Callithrix jacchus: one gene and its partners. The main gene of each other region encodes a partner of the protein of the gene in region 2 in a complex. Links are inferred from orthologs where the notes say so. Each region holds a gene or a part of one and is shown on either strand. Other genes may lie near its edges. The genes, in order: BNIP5, BAK1 and PXT1.

Region 1 (3,652 bases), about 2.8 Mb from region 2:
GGGCAGAAGAGGCTTCCAGGGATGGGGAACATGAGCCAAACTTCAATAGCTGATTTGGATAGGAGTGGTCCTGGCTGGCAGGGGGGCCATGTGAGCATTGGCTTCTTTTAAACAGTTCCCTCAACTGCTGCATGTCTGGCATTTTCTACATATGCACTAAGCTTGGTCGAGTCGGTAATTATCTCTCATTTTGAAACTGAGGCTCAGAGAGGTTAAGGGGTATTCTCAAAATTGCCCAGAGGTGCAGACTTAGGGATGGAACCCAGGTCTCAGCTGTGGGTAGATGAGGCCCTGGGGCTGGCCTGGGGAAGGCTGAGTGGTGCTCACCTGCTGCCCCAGTTGACCATCCACTTCTTGGAGAAGCGCCACCAGCTTCAGGATGATGAGCTCCTCTAAGGAAAAGAAAGGATTGAGTTACTGACTGGGTGATGCCCAGTTCCCTTCCAAAAACAAAGCGCTGCAACAACACATCCACCTGTGAAAGACAGTATTCTCTCTAAAACTCCGCACGCACATTAGTTATGATGGATCAAGAAAATTCTTGCCTTAAACTAGAGCTGGAGCGTGAGAGCTTTGCTTGGGTTCCCTTTATAGAAATAGAAGGGACTCTGGCTTGCTGGGCCTCACCTGTAACCACATTCGGCTCTATTTGATAGGTGGGAAACTAAGGCCTCCCAGTGTCCCTTAACCAGGCTACAGAGTAGCCCAGTCGAGAATGGGAGTTTGGACTAGAGGCAGCGCATCAGAATACAGGGAGGAGACATGCCAGGGCTACAGACCCATTGGGAATGCACCCATTCACCTCGGTTCTAAGCAGTGGTACGCCAGGGCCTGCTCATACTAAGTTCACTGTAACTATTCAGGAAATTTGTAGACTCATTTTGTTTTGTTTTAGACAGAGTCTCACTTTGTCATCCAGGCTGGAGTGCAGTGGGCGCAATCTCTGCTCACTGCAACCTCCACCTCCCGGGTTCAAGTGATTCTCCTGCCTCAGCCTCCCAAGTAGCTGGGATTACAGGTTCCCACCACCGTGCCCAGCTAATTAATTTGTGGACTAGTTGTTATAAACTGTTGGCAGCTTGAAATCAGCGGAGGTAAAAAATATTTATGCCATGGAAATCTGCAAAGGCTACAAAACAGGGCATCACCTCTCCCAGTGGTCTGCCAGCACACCACTGCTTATGAGACCTGGAGCAAGCTAGGAATTTCACAAGAAACATTCAAGCAAACTAACGGCAGGTGTTAATTACATCCCACGGAACAGACAGGTGTCCTCTACCTGCAACTGCCCCAACCGCCCCAGTTAAAAGGCCAAGTCTGTGCCCCCTACCCCATCCTAAAGTCTCCTGGGGTCTTTGCCTGCTGCCTTCCCCATTCCTTTCTCAGAACCCTCCCCAATACTGCCTGTGAACTCCACATGGAGGAGAAGCGCTGGGAAGCTGTCCGGGTAAGAGCAGGGGTGATACTGACTAGATTCACACACTCCACTCAGCTGAGATGCCCCTTCTGATGTGTGGCCTCTGGCCTGGAAGGGTGCTTCTGGGACCACAACAGGCTCGCCTTCTGCAGGTGAGGGCTCCTGGCACTCGAGATCTTCTGGATCTAGGGCAAAAAAAGAGTTGGTGAGTGTTTCACAGAGAGCTAATCCAGTTCCCGACAAGAAGCTGTTCAGAGGCACAGGCATAAGCCAGGGCTGGTTTCCAGGCTCCTCCGTGAGTTTCCCGCCCCCGGCTCTGCCTCAGAGGAGTTCGTGGTGCTCTCTTGGCCTTCTCCAGAAACCTAATTCCTCCTTCCCCCACCAACCATTTCCTCCTCCTCACAGTCTGGGAGGGGTGCAGTTAAAACAGGTGTGCCGACAGGTCCACCAAACAAACCCTTTCACTCTGCCAGGCTTTCTGGGTCACTCAGCCTGTCTGAGCCTCTCTTTCTCCATCTGTTAAGTGGGAGTGATAAGACTGACCTCACAGGGTTTCGAGCAGGTTAAATGAGATGATACGTGTGAAAGTAGCATGCAGCAGGTGCTCTGTGATGTCAGGGGAATCACGGTACACCAGTGGCCTCGCGCTTTGGTGTAGTAAAAAAAAAGGCCCAGGCCATACCCTACTTCATCAAACCCAGGTCTCTGTGCTTTTCTATGTAACTGGCCAGGCGATTCTGATGCACAGCTGCACGGCTCTCCCACCACGGCTGTTGTTAAGTGTTTGTGTGTGGCGGGGTGTGGGGAGGGCGTGCGCTGTGAGCAGGGGCTGCTAGGGGTGGGGGCCTGCTGGCACCTGGCCCCTCACCTCTCCCCACACTTCCACACCCCCGACTCTGCTCAGCATGGAAAGCAACAGTTAGGGCTGGACATCCCCCACTAAGCCAGACTGTTGGCAACGGATAGGCCCCACAGCAGCCCTGTCTGAGAGGAAGGCTCTGTTACCATGGCAACACCAGGCCTGCTCACCAAGGCTGCTGGAGGTGGAGGGCCGATGCCCACCAACACACAGGGGCAGAAAGCTGGGCCTCTTGGGCCGTCGGGTCTCTGGGCTGGTGGCCCCTGCTGCCCCTGCTCTCTTGGGTTCTTTGGAGCTGTGTTTCTTATGGTAAAATGCTCTCCTGAAGCTCAACTTTTTTTCTTGAGATTTCCTTCTGCTGAGTGGAGCCAGGTTTTCTATACACACCTCTTCCTCCTGGACTTGAGGTTGCTGTGGGGGAGATGAGAGAAACTGAGTCAGGGCCCCTGACCTTGAGGAGATCTCAGGTGAGCTGGGGAAAGAAACTCATGGTGGGCTAGCAGGTATTGCCCAGAGAAAGGTGGCTGATGCTCAGTGAGGGGGAAATGTGTGTGGTCTGGAGGGGGCTGGAGAAGCTTCAAGACGGAGAGACTGGGGCTGAGTGCAGTGGCTCATGCCTATGATCCCGGCACTTTGAGAGGCCGAGGTGGGTGGACCACCAGCAGTCAGGAGTTCCAGACCAGCCTGACCAAGCTGGTGAAACCCTGTCTCTACTAAAAATGCAAAAATTAGCCAGGTGTGGTGGCACACACCTGTAGTCCCAGCTACTTGGGAGGCTGAGGCTGGAGAATCGCTGGAGCCCAGGAGGTAGAGGTTGCAGTGAGCCATGATCGAGCCACTGTGCTTTAGCCTGGGCAACAGAGTGAGACTCCATCTCCAAAAAAACCAGGAGGGACTGGAGCAGGGCTTTGGCAGGACACAGAAGTGCAGGAGGGGCAGGAAGTTGTTTCCCAGGCAGGGTTGGGGAGCCCACAGTGAGGTCAGGGCTATGTGGGGAGCATCTTCCTCACCTCCTCTCCTCGCTGTTCTTCTGCATCTTGGAGCATGGAAATGATCTTCTGAATGAATTCTCCTGAAAAAGATCAGCATGCATGGTTACACTTCAGTGCTAGAAAAGCTCTTCTAAGGTCAGTCTTCATTTCCTTATGCCCAGCTGGCTCCCTGGGTGATTCTCCAGGGGGCTAAAGAGCTGCCAGAGGTGGCCTGAGGGCAGAGCTGGTTTCATGGGACACATGTTCACTTTCCCAAAGAGGGCCTCCAAATTGAAACCCGGGAGGAGTCCCCTCAGGGCCATCTGGAAAGGCCTGTTCCCTACAAGTGCCCTCACCTTGCACCTTCCCCCTGTTCAGGCAGAATTCCCCTTTAAGGCACATTTT
Region 2 (2,558 bases):
GGGTGCCCAGGACTGGAAAGACTGTAGATTTTGGAACATTTCAACGCCCCCATGCTTGTTATTTTTATCACCCCTGGCTGCGTCCCCATAGGGACTCCCAAGCAGCATAAAACTAGAATGAAAGCCCTGCGTGCGTGCTGACTGTGGAGACAACAGGAAGGGGGAGCTGGGACATTGCGTCCCAGGCAGAGCTAAGTGTGGGGGAGAAAGGCCTTTTGGACCAGCGTGGGTGATAGCCCCAGGGTGGGAGAGGAATTCAGGCCAGGCCTGAGGTGGCCTGTGGGGGTCCTCAGATAAGTGCAGCTGCTCCACCAGCTCTGTAGCTATGATCCAGCAGTTCAAACGTCCTAAAGGGTGGGAAATTGCATGAAACCCACAGAGATGAGGGAAGTGCATGAGGAGGGGTGAAGGCCTTCCAGCGGCTGGGGGCTGCAGGACCATAGTCAGACCTCCATGGGATTCTGGAAGCCTAGTGTGAGGATTTAGTCAGTAATATCAGGCACCCCCAGTCTAGCCTGATGGAAAGAGGGGGAGCAGAGAATACAAAAACTACTAAGTCGGGGTGAGGGGATTGCACAGTTTATTTCCAAACGCTCAGAGGATAGGGAGTGGCTTCGGGCTCCAGCTGCCTCTCCCTGCATTTGGCTGAATCAAGAACTTCTCTCCCCTCCCCCAACACCCTAGGCAATGCCCAATAGAGAAGGGACTCTCACCCCCCCCCCAAGAGAGACCTAGACAGGTGAGGAGCATGGAGGGTGGGGGGACAGAGTTCAAGTATTCACATTTCCCCCATCAACACCCCGGAGTACACCGTGCCAGAGCCATGAGGTGGGGATCCCACTGCTGGGATTCCTAGTGGTGTCGATAGTCCTTCTCCCACTTAGAACCCTCCAGATGAACTCCCTACACCTTTTCCCTGAAATAACAAACCAAGTCCTAAGCCCTGTAGTCTGGGCAAGGAGGGGCCTTAGAATGCCACTCACCCAAGGTCCCCAGGGTGAGGGCCTTCACCTGTAGTGAATGGGTTGGGAGCAAGTGTCTAAAAGGAGAGAGGAAGGGAGAGAACTGAGAGGACCTAGGGAGGCAGGCTTGGAGGTTTCTGACACGTAAGTTCAGACAGCTCTCGTCTGCGAATCCACCCCACCCCATTCCCCAAGCCCAGAATCCCTGAGAGTCCAACTGCAAAGGCAGTATGGCTGGAGGGAGGAATGGGAGCAGGCAGAGCGCTGGGCAGGACCTCCGCCCCTGTCTCCCAGTCAGTCCTGCTCCTGGAACACATGATGCTTTGGGAGGGCCAGGACCAGGATCAAGTCCCAGCTCTTAGGCGCTCCAGCATAGCTGAATCCTGGGGAACAGAGGGTAGACCCACCAACCCCCAAACCCCAGCCGTCCTGGCCTCGGGTAGAATGGTGGGAATGGGCTCTCTAAAGGGTATTATAAAAAGCTAGAACCGTTAAACGCTTCCTGGGGAGAAGTGGCTCCCAGTCTCTTGCCTCCCCAAGTTATCAGTCTCCCTAGTGCCTAGCAGACAGGGCTAAGGAGGTCTCAGAGAGCCGAGGGAGGAGGCCACAGCCCCTGGGCCCAGAGAGAGGGCCCACTAGCACCATGCAATGTTGAGGCACCTTTGCAGCCTGACTGGCCCCCACACAGGGGCCCTCCAAAGCTGGAGTGCACCCTTGCTAAAGCTTCTGTACTCTTGAGGGGGGACCCCTGAAGGGAGTGGAGGAGGCAAAGACTTGGCTTAAGTCCAGGCTGGGGTCTCAGCAGGGACCCCAAAGGGCACCCTTGGGAGTCATGATTTGAAGAATCTTCGTACCACAAACTGGCCCAACAGAACCACACCCAGAACGACCAGCACATTCAGGATGGGTCCATTGCCCAGGTCCAGGGCTGCCACCTGCCGGGAGAAACACGGTGGTCACAGAGAGTCAGGCAGAAGATACAGGCACCTGGGGAGGGGCGGGGCCTGGGAGAGGAGCAGCCCCAACAGCAGGGAGGACGTTGCAATCCTCAGATACTCACCCAGCCACCCCTCTGTGCGATCCACCGGGCGATGCAGTGATGCAGCATGAAGTCCACCACGAAGCGGGTCACCTGGCCCAGGAAGCCAGTCAGGCCGCGCTGGTAGACGTGTAGGGCCAGACGGTAGCCAAAGCCCAGGAGAGCCACCACACGGCCCCAGTTGATGCCACTCTCAAACAGGCTGCGGGCAGAGCATTGCATACCATTGGTGGAGAGGCCCCAGGAGGCCCGTCAGCCTGCCTGCCCTCTCCCTTCCCTCTCCCAGCTGGAAAGCTAAATTTGCTGTGAATTAAGGCTGCAGAGGCTGCCCCAGCCTGGCCTGTATTTGGGAATAACCTGGGTCTCTGTGAAAGGAGAAAGCTGAGGGGTATGAGCTGGATGCCACTGCTGGGATGTACACTCAGGTGCAAAGGGGCACAGACAGGGTAGAGGGCAGAGCGAGTGGAGGGGTCAGCGGGGAGATTACCTGTGGGTGTTGTGCTGGCCTGGCAGCCCAAGGGACAGCAGAGAGAAAAGGACAGAAAAGATTAGAGTAG
Region 3 (3,652 bases), about 2.9 Mb from region 2:
TTGCTTTTTTTTTTTTTTTTTTTTGAAACAGAGTCTCACTCTGTCGCCCACACTGTGGCACAATCTCGACTCACTGCAACCTCTGCCTCCCGGGTTTAAGTGATTCTCCTGCCTCAGCCTCCCAAATAGCTGGAATTACAGGTGTGTGCCACCATGCCTGGCTAGTTTTTGTGTTTTTCAGTAGAGACGAGGTTTCACTATATTGGTTAAGCTTGTCTCGAACTCTTGACCTCAAGTGATCCACCCGCCTCGGTCTCCCAAAGTGCCGGGATTACAGGTGTGAGCCACCGCACCTGGCACCTTCTTGCTTTTATAGCATTATTGTTGAGATCTCCCATTCATATTTTGTCTTGGGGATGTTTTATTTGAGGGCAAGGCTGTGTGTTGTCCACATTTGGACCTGAGTATAAAAGAGGACACGGCACTCCCTGTGGCATGCATGATGGAGGGCAGCATGATGGAAGCTTCACCAAGAAAGCTTCACAGGATAGTTGAATCTAAGGGCAAAAAGTTGGGCTCTGAGGGGCTGCCATCCCGTCTGTCACAGAGCCCATGTGATCATTCTCTACTGCCAAATACAGGTTGCTCTGGAGAAAAAAATAAGTTAGCTATGGATTTCATCACCCCAAACAGTAATCATTAGTCTTTCCTATTTTCCCCTATTATCTCTTATAATAATCAGGAGAAACTAAGAAACCGGCAGGGGTAGGGCCGGCCTCCTTCCCTTCGGGCTGATTCAGGGAGGATAACCAAAGTCCAAGGCACAGGTTCTCCTCTCTGACTGTGCATTAGATTCACTGAGGCAGTTTTTAAAATGCCAGGTGCCCCAGCCTTACCTTGGGCCAATTAAATCAGAATTTCTCCAGGTTGGGCCCAGGCATCTGTCATTCCTAAAACTCAACAGGTGATTCCAGTTGCACCCTATTTTGAGGGTGTGGAGCAGTTTCTCACACTTCAGTGTGCACACAAATTCCCTGGGGAATGCATAAAAAGGTAGATTCTGGGCTGGGTGTGGTGGCTCATGCCTGTAATCCCAGCACTTTGGGAGGACAAGGCAGGTGGATCACGAGGTCTGAAGATCAAGACCATCCTGGCTAACACTGTGAAACCTCATCTCTACTAAAAATACAAAAAATTAGCCAGGCGTGGTGGCACTCGCCTGTAGTCCCAGCTATTTGGGAGGCTGAGGCAGGAGAATCACTTGAACCTGGAGGCAGAGGTTGCAGTGAGCCAAGATCATGCCATTGTGCTCCAGCCTGGGAAACAAGAGCGAAAGGTAGATTCTGATTCTGACTGGGTGGGCTGGGGTCTCAGACATTGCACATCTAACCAAGTGATGTTGATGCTGCCAGTCCACAGACCACAATCTGAGCAGCAAGTATGAGATTCAATGCCAGCTTTGAATTCAGGTTCACAATGTTTAGATCGAATATTTGGTAATCCAGACAGTATTAATCCATGAATTTCGATAATTTCTGGGTGTCTCAGATACTTGGCAGCCATAGTTTTGTTTACTCTTTCCTCCAACCTGACAGGCCCTGGCTGGGGAAAGTGGAGCCTCACCTCTGGAACCATCCTATGATCAATGCTGTCTCCAATGTGTCTCAGCTGCATGGCCAACTTGTGAATTATTTCCTCCTGGTGATGCTTCTGACCAATGCTATGCTCCTTGGGCTGAGAAGGTAGCTTATGATCTGCATTGATAGAAGAGTTCAAAAGAGATAATATCACTTAATTATCTGTAAAATCACTTACCACTAGTTACTAAAAACTGTCTTAGAAAATGAGAGGGTTGGCTGGGTGCAGTAGCTCACGGCTGTAATCCCAGCACTTTGGGAGGCCGAGGCGGGTGGATCACTTGAGATCAAGAGTTCAATACCAGCCTGGTCAACACAGCAAAATCCTGTTTCTACTAAAAATACAAAAAATTAGCTGGACGTAGTGACAGGCACCTGTAATCCCAGCTACTTGGGAGGCTAAGGCAGGAGAATTGCTTGAACCCGGGCAGCAGAGGTTGCAGAAAGCTGAGATAGCGCCATTGCACTCAGTCTGGGTGACAAGAGCAAAATCATTCTCAAAAAAAAAAATGAGACGGTTGAAATTCAGTCATTATAATAATTATCAAAAAGCAAAGCCTAACTGTTGGAATACATCAGCTCTCTCCAATAGAAATATAATTCAAGCCATATGTAATTTTAAATTTTCCAGTAGTAAAATCAGGTAAAATTAATTTTAGCAATTTATTTTACCTAAATCAATTTACTCAAAATATTATAACATTTATCAATATAAAATTATTAATGACGTATTTTACATTTTAAAATTATACCTAAGTCTTTGAAATTCAGTGTTTTTTTTTTGTACTTATAAAACGCCTTAATTTAGAGCCTAACTTTTCACTGGAAAATCTTGATCTATACTTGGATTTCATGAAGTTGACAGTTTAAAAAGTAGATTCAGGCCAGATGCCATGGCTCACATCTATAATCCCCAAACTTTGGGAGGCCAAAGTGGGAGGATCACTTGAGCCCAGGAGTTTCAGACCAGCCAGGGCAACATAGTGAGACATTGTCTCCAGGAAAAATTTAAAAATTAGCTATGCATAGTAGCTCACACCTGTAGTCCCACCTACAAAACTGAGGCTGACATGGGAGAATTGCTTGAGCCCAGGAGGCAGAGGCTGGAGTGAGCTATGATCACACCACTACACTCCAGCCTGAGCAACAGAGCAAGAGCCTGTCTCAAATAAAAAAAAATAGATTCACATATCCAGGTCATTTCAAACATACTTAAAAGGGCTCCAACAATTAAATCAAGTATCAGTTTTAAAATGTAAATTAATTGAAATTAACCAAAACTTAAAATTCAGTTCCTCAATTGCACCAGCCACATTTCAAGTGCTCATAACCAAATGTGGTTAGTAGCTATTGTATTGGACAAGCAGTAATAGATCTTTAGTTTTTCAAAATAGATTTTTCCACTATATATATATATATAATATATATATAAAATATATATTACAGTTGTATGTGTGTGTGTGTCTATATATATATATTTATATATATATATATAAAGGAAAAATCTATTTTGAATAACTATATATATATATATATTTTTTTTTTTTTAAATAGACACAGGGTCTTGCTTTGTTGCCTAGGCTGATCTTGGTCTTAACTCCTGGGTTCAAGCAATCCTCACACTTCAATCTTCCAAAGTGCTGGGATTACAGGAATGAGCCACTATGCCCAGCCCCCTTTAATATTTTTACCCACTCTCCTTGATGAGCCCTCCAAACTTTATTTGCTTCTAGCAACCAATGAGCGTTTTTAAGCAACACTGTAGGTTAACACTTGTTGGGTGCCTTGGGGAGGGCCTAAAACATACAGACAAGGTTTCTGCCCTTTAGTCACTTAGAACGAACGCATGGGTTACAGATGATACAATTCCCAAGTGCTTTAGGACTACAGAAGAGAAGGAAATAAATTTGGGCTAAAGTAGATGTAAGTATGGTTTCATAGAGAAAGCAAGAGTTGTGCTGGATCTGTTTCATTTCAATAAAATTGGAGGACCTTTGATTTCAGGCCTGTCCTCAAAGAGTCCAATGGGAGAGAGACACAAACTATGATTCAACATGTTAGAGTAAGAACAAGGT

The links.
Region 1: the proteins of BAK1 (region 2) and BNIP5 are in contact, whole or in part, in a crystal structure (PDB 8IGC), measured with the Homo sapiens proteins. The link is inferred for Callithrix jacchus from reciprocal best matches to the Homo sapiens genes BAK1 and BNIP5. Residues at the interface, in NP_001179.1 of Homo sapiens: Leu78, Ile81, Gly82, Ile85, Tyr89, Glu92, Phe93, Met96, His99, Leu100, Tyr110, Lys113, Ile114, Ser117, Leu118, Ser121, Asn124, Trp125, Gly126, Arg127, Val129, Ala130, Phe134, Ala180, Leu183; in NP_001010903.3 of Homo sapiens: Ile246, Ile247, Gln248, Met249, Ile250, Val251, Leu253, Leu254, Lys255, Arg256, Val257, Gly258, Asp259, Gln260, Trp261, Glu262, Glu264, Gln265, Ser266.
Region 3: the proteins of BAK1 (region 2) and PXT1 are in contact, whole or in part, in a crystal structure (PDB 8GSV), measured with the Homo sapiens proteins. The link is inferred for Callithrix jacchus from reciprocal best matches to the Homo sapiens genes BAK1 and PXT1. Residues at the interface, in NP_001179.1 of Homo sapiens: Ile81, Gly82, Asp84, Ile85, Asn86, Arg88, Tyr89, Glu92, Phe93, Met96, Leu97, His99, Leu100, Tyr110, Lys113, Ile114, Ser117, Leu118, Glu120, Ser121, Asn124, Trp125, Gly126, Arg127, Val129, Ala130, Phe134, Asn182; in NP_694535.2 of Homo sapiens: Ile78, Ile79, His80, Lys81, Leu82, Ala83, Met84, Gln85, Leu86, Arg87, His88, Ile89, Gly90, Asp91, Asn92, Ile93, Asp94, Arg96, Met97.

Annotation. Positions count from the first base shown.
Region 1 is NC_133505.1:44,631,000-44,634,651, forward strand, and holds part of BNIP5 (protein BNIP5), read right to left. Parts: intron 3,349-3,652; coding exon 3,287-3,348; intron 2,688-3,286; coding exon 2,447-2,687; intron 1,603-2,446; coding exon 1,471-1,602; intron 393-1,470; coding exon 328-392; intron 1-327.
Region 2 is NC_133505.1:41,823,828-41,826,385, forward strand, and holds the end of BAK1 (bcl-2 homologous antagonist/killer), read right to left. Parts: intron 2,204-2,558; coding exon 2,023-2,203; intron 1,899-2,022; exon of another isoform or gene 1,898-1,898; coding exon 1,793-1,897; 3' UTR 564-1,792; downstream 1-563. UniProt on the Homo sapiens protein: Plays a role in the mitochondrial apoptotic process. Upon arrival of cell death signals, promotes mitochondrial outer membrane (MOM) permeabilization by oligomerizing to form pores within the MOM.
Region 3 is NC_133505.1:44,720,440-44,724,091, forward strand, and holds part of PXT1 (peroxisomal testis-specific protein 1), read right to left. Parts: intron 1,695-3,652; coding exon 1,564-1,694; intron 1-1,563.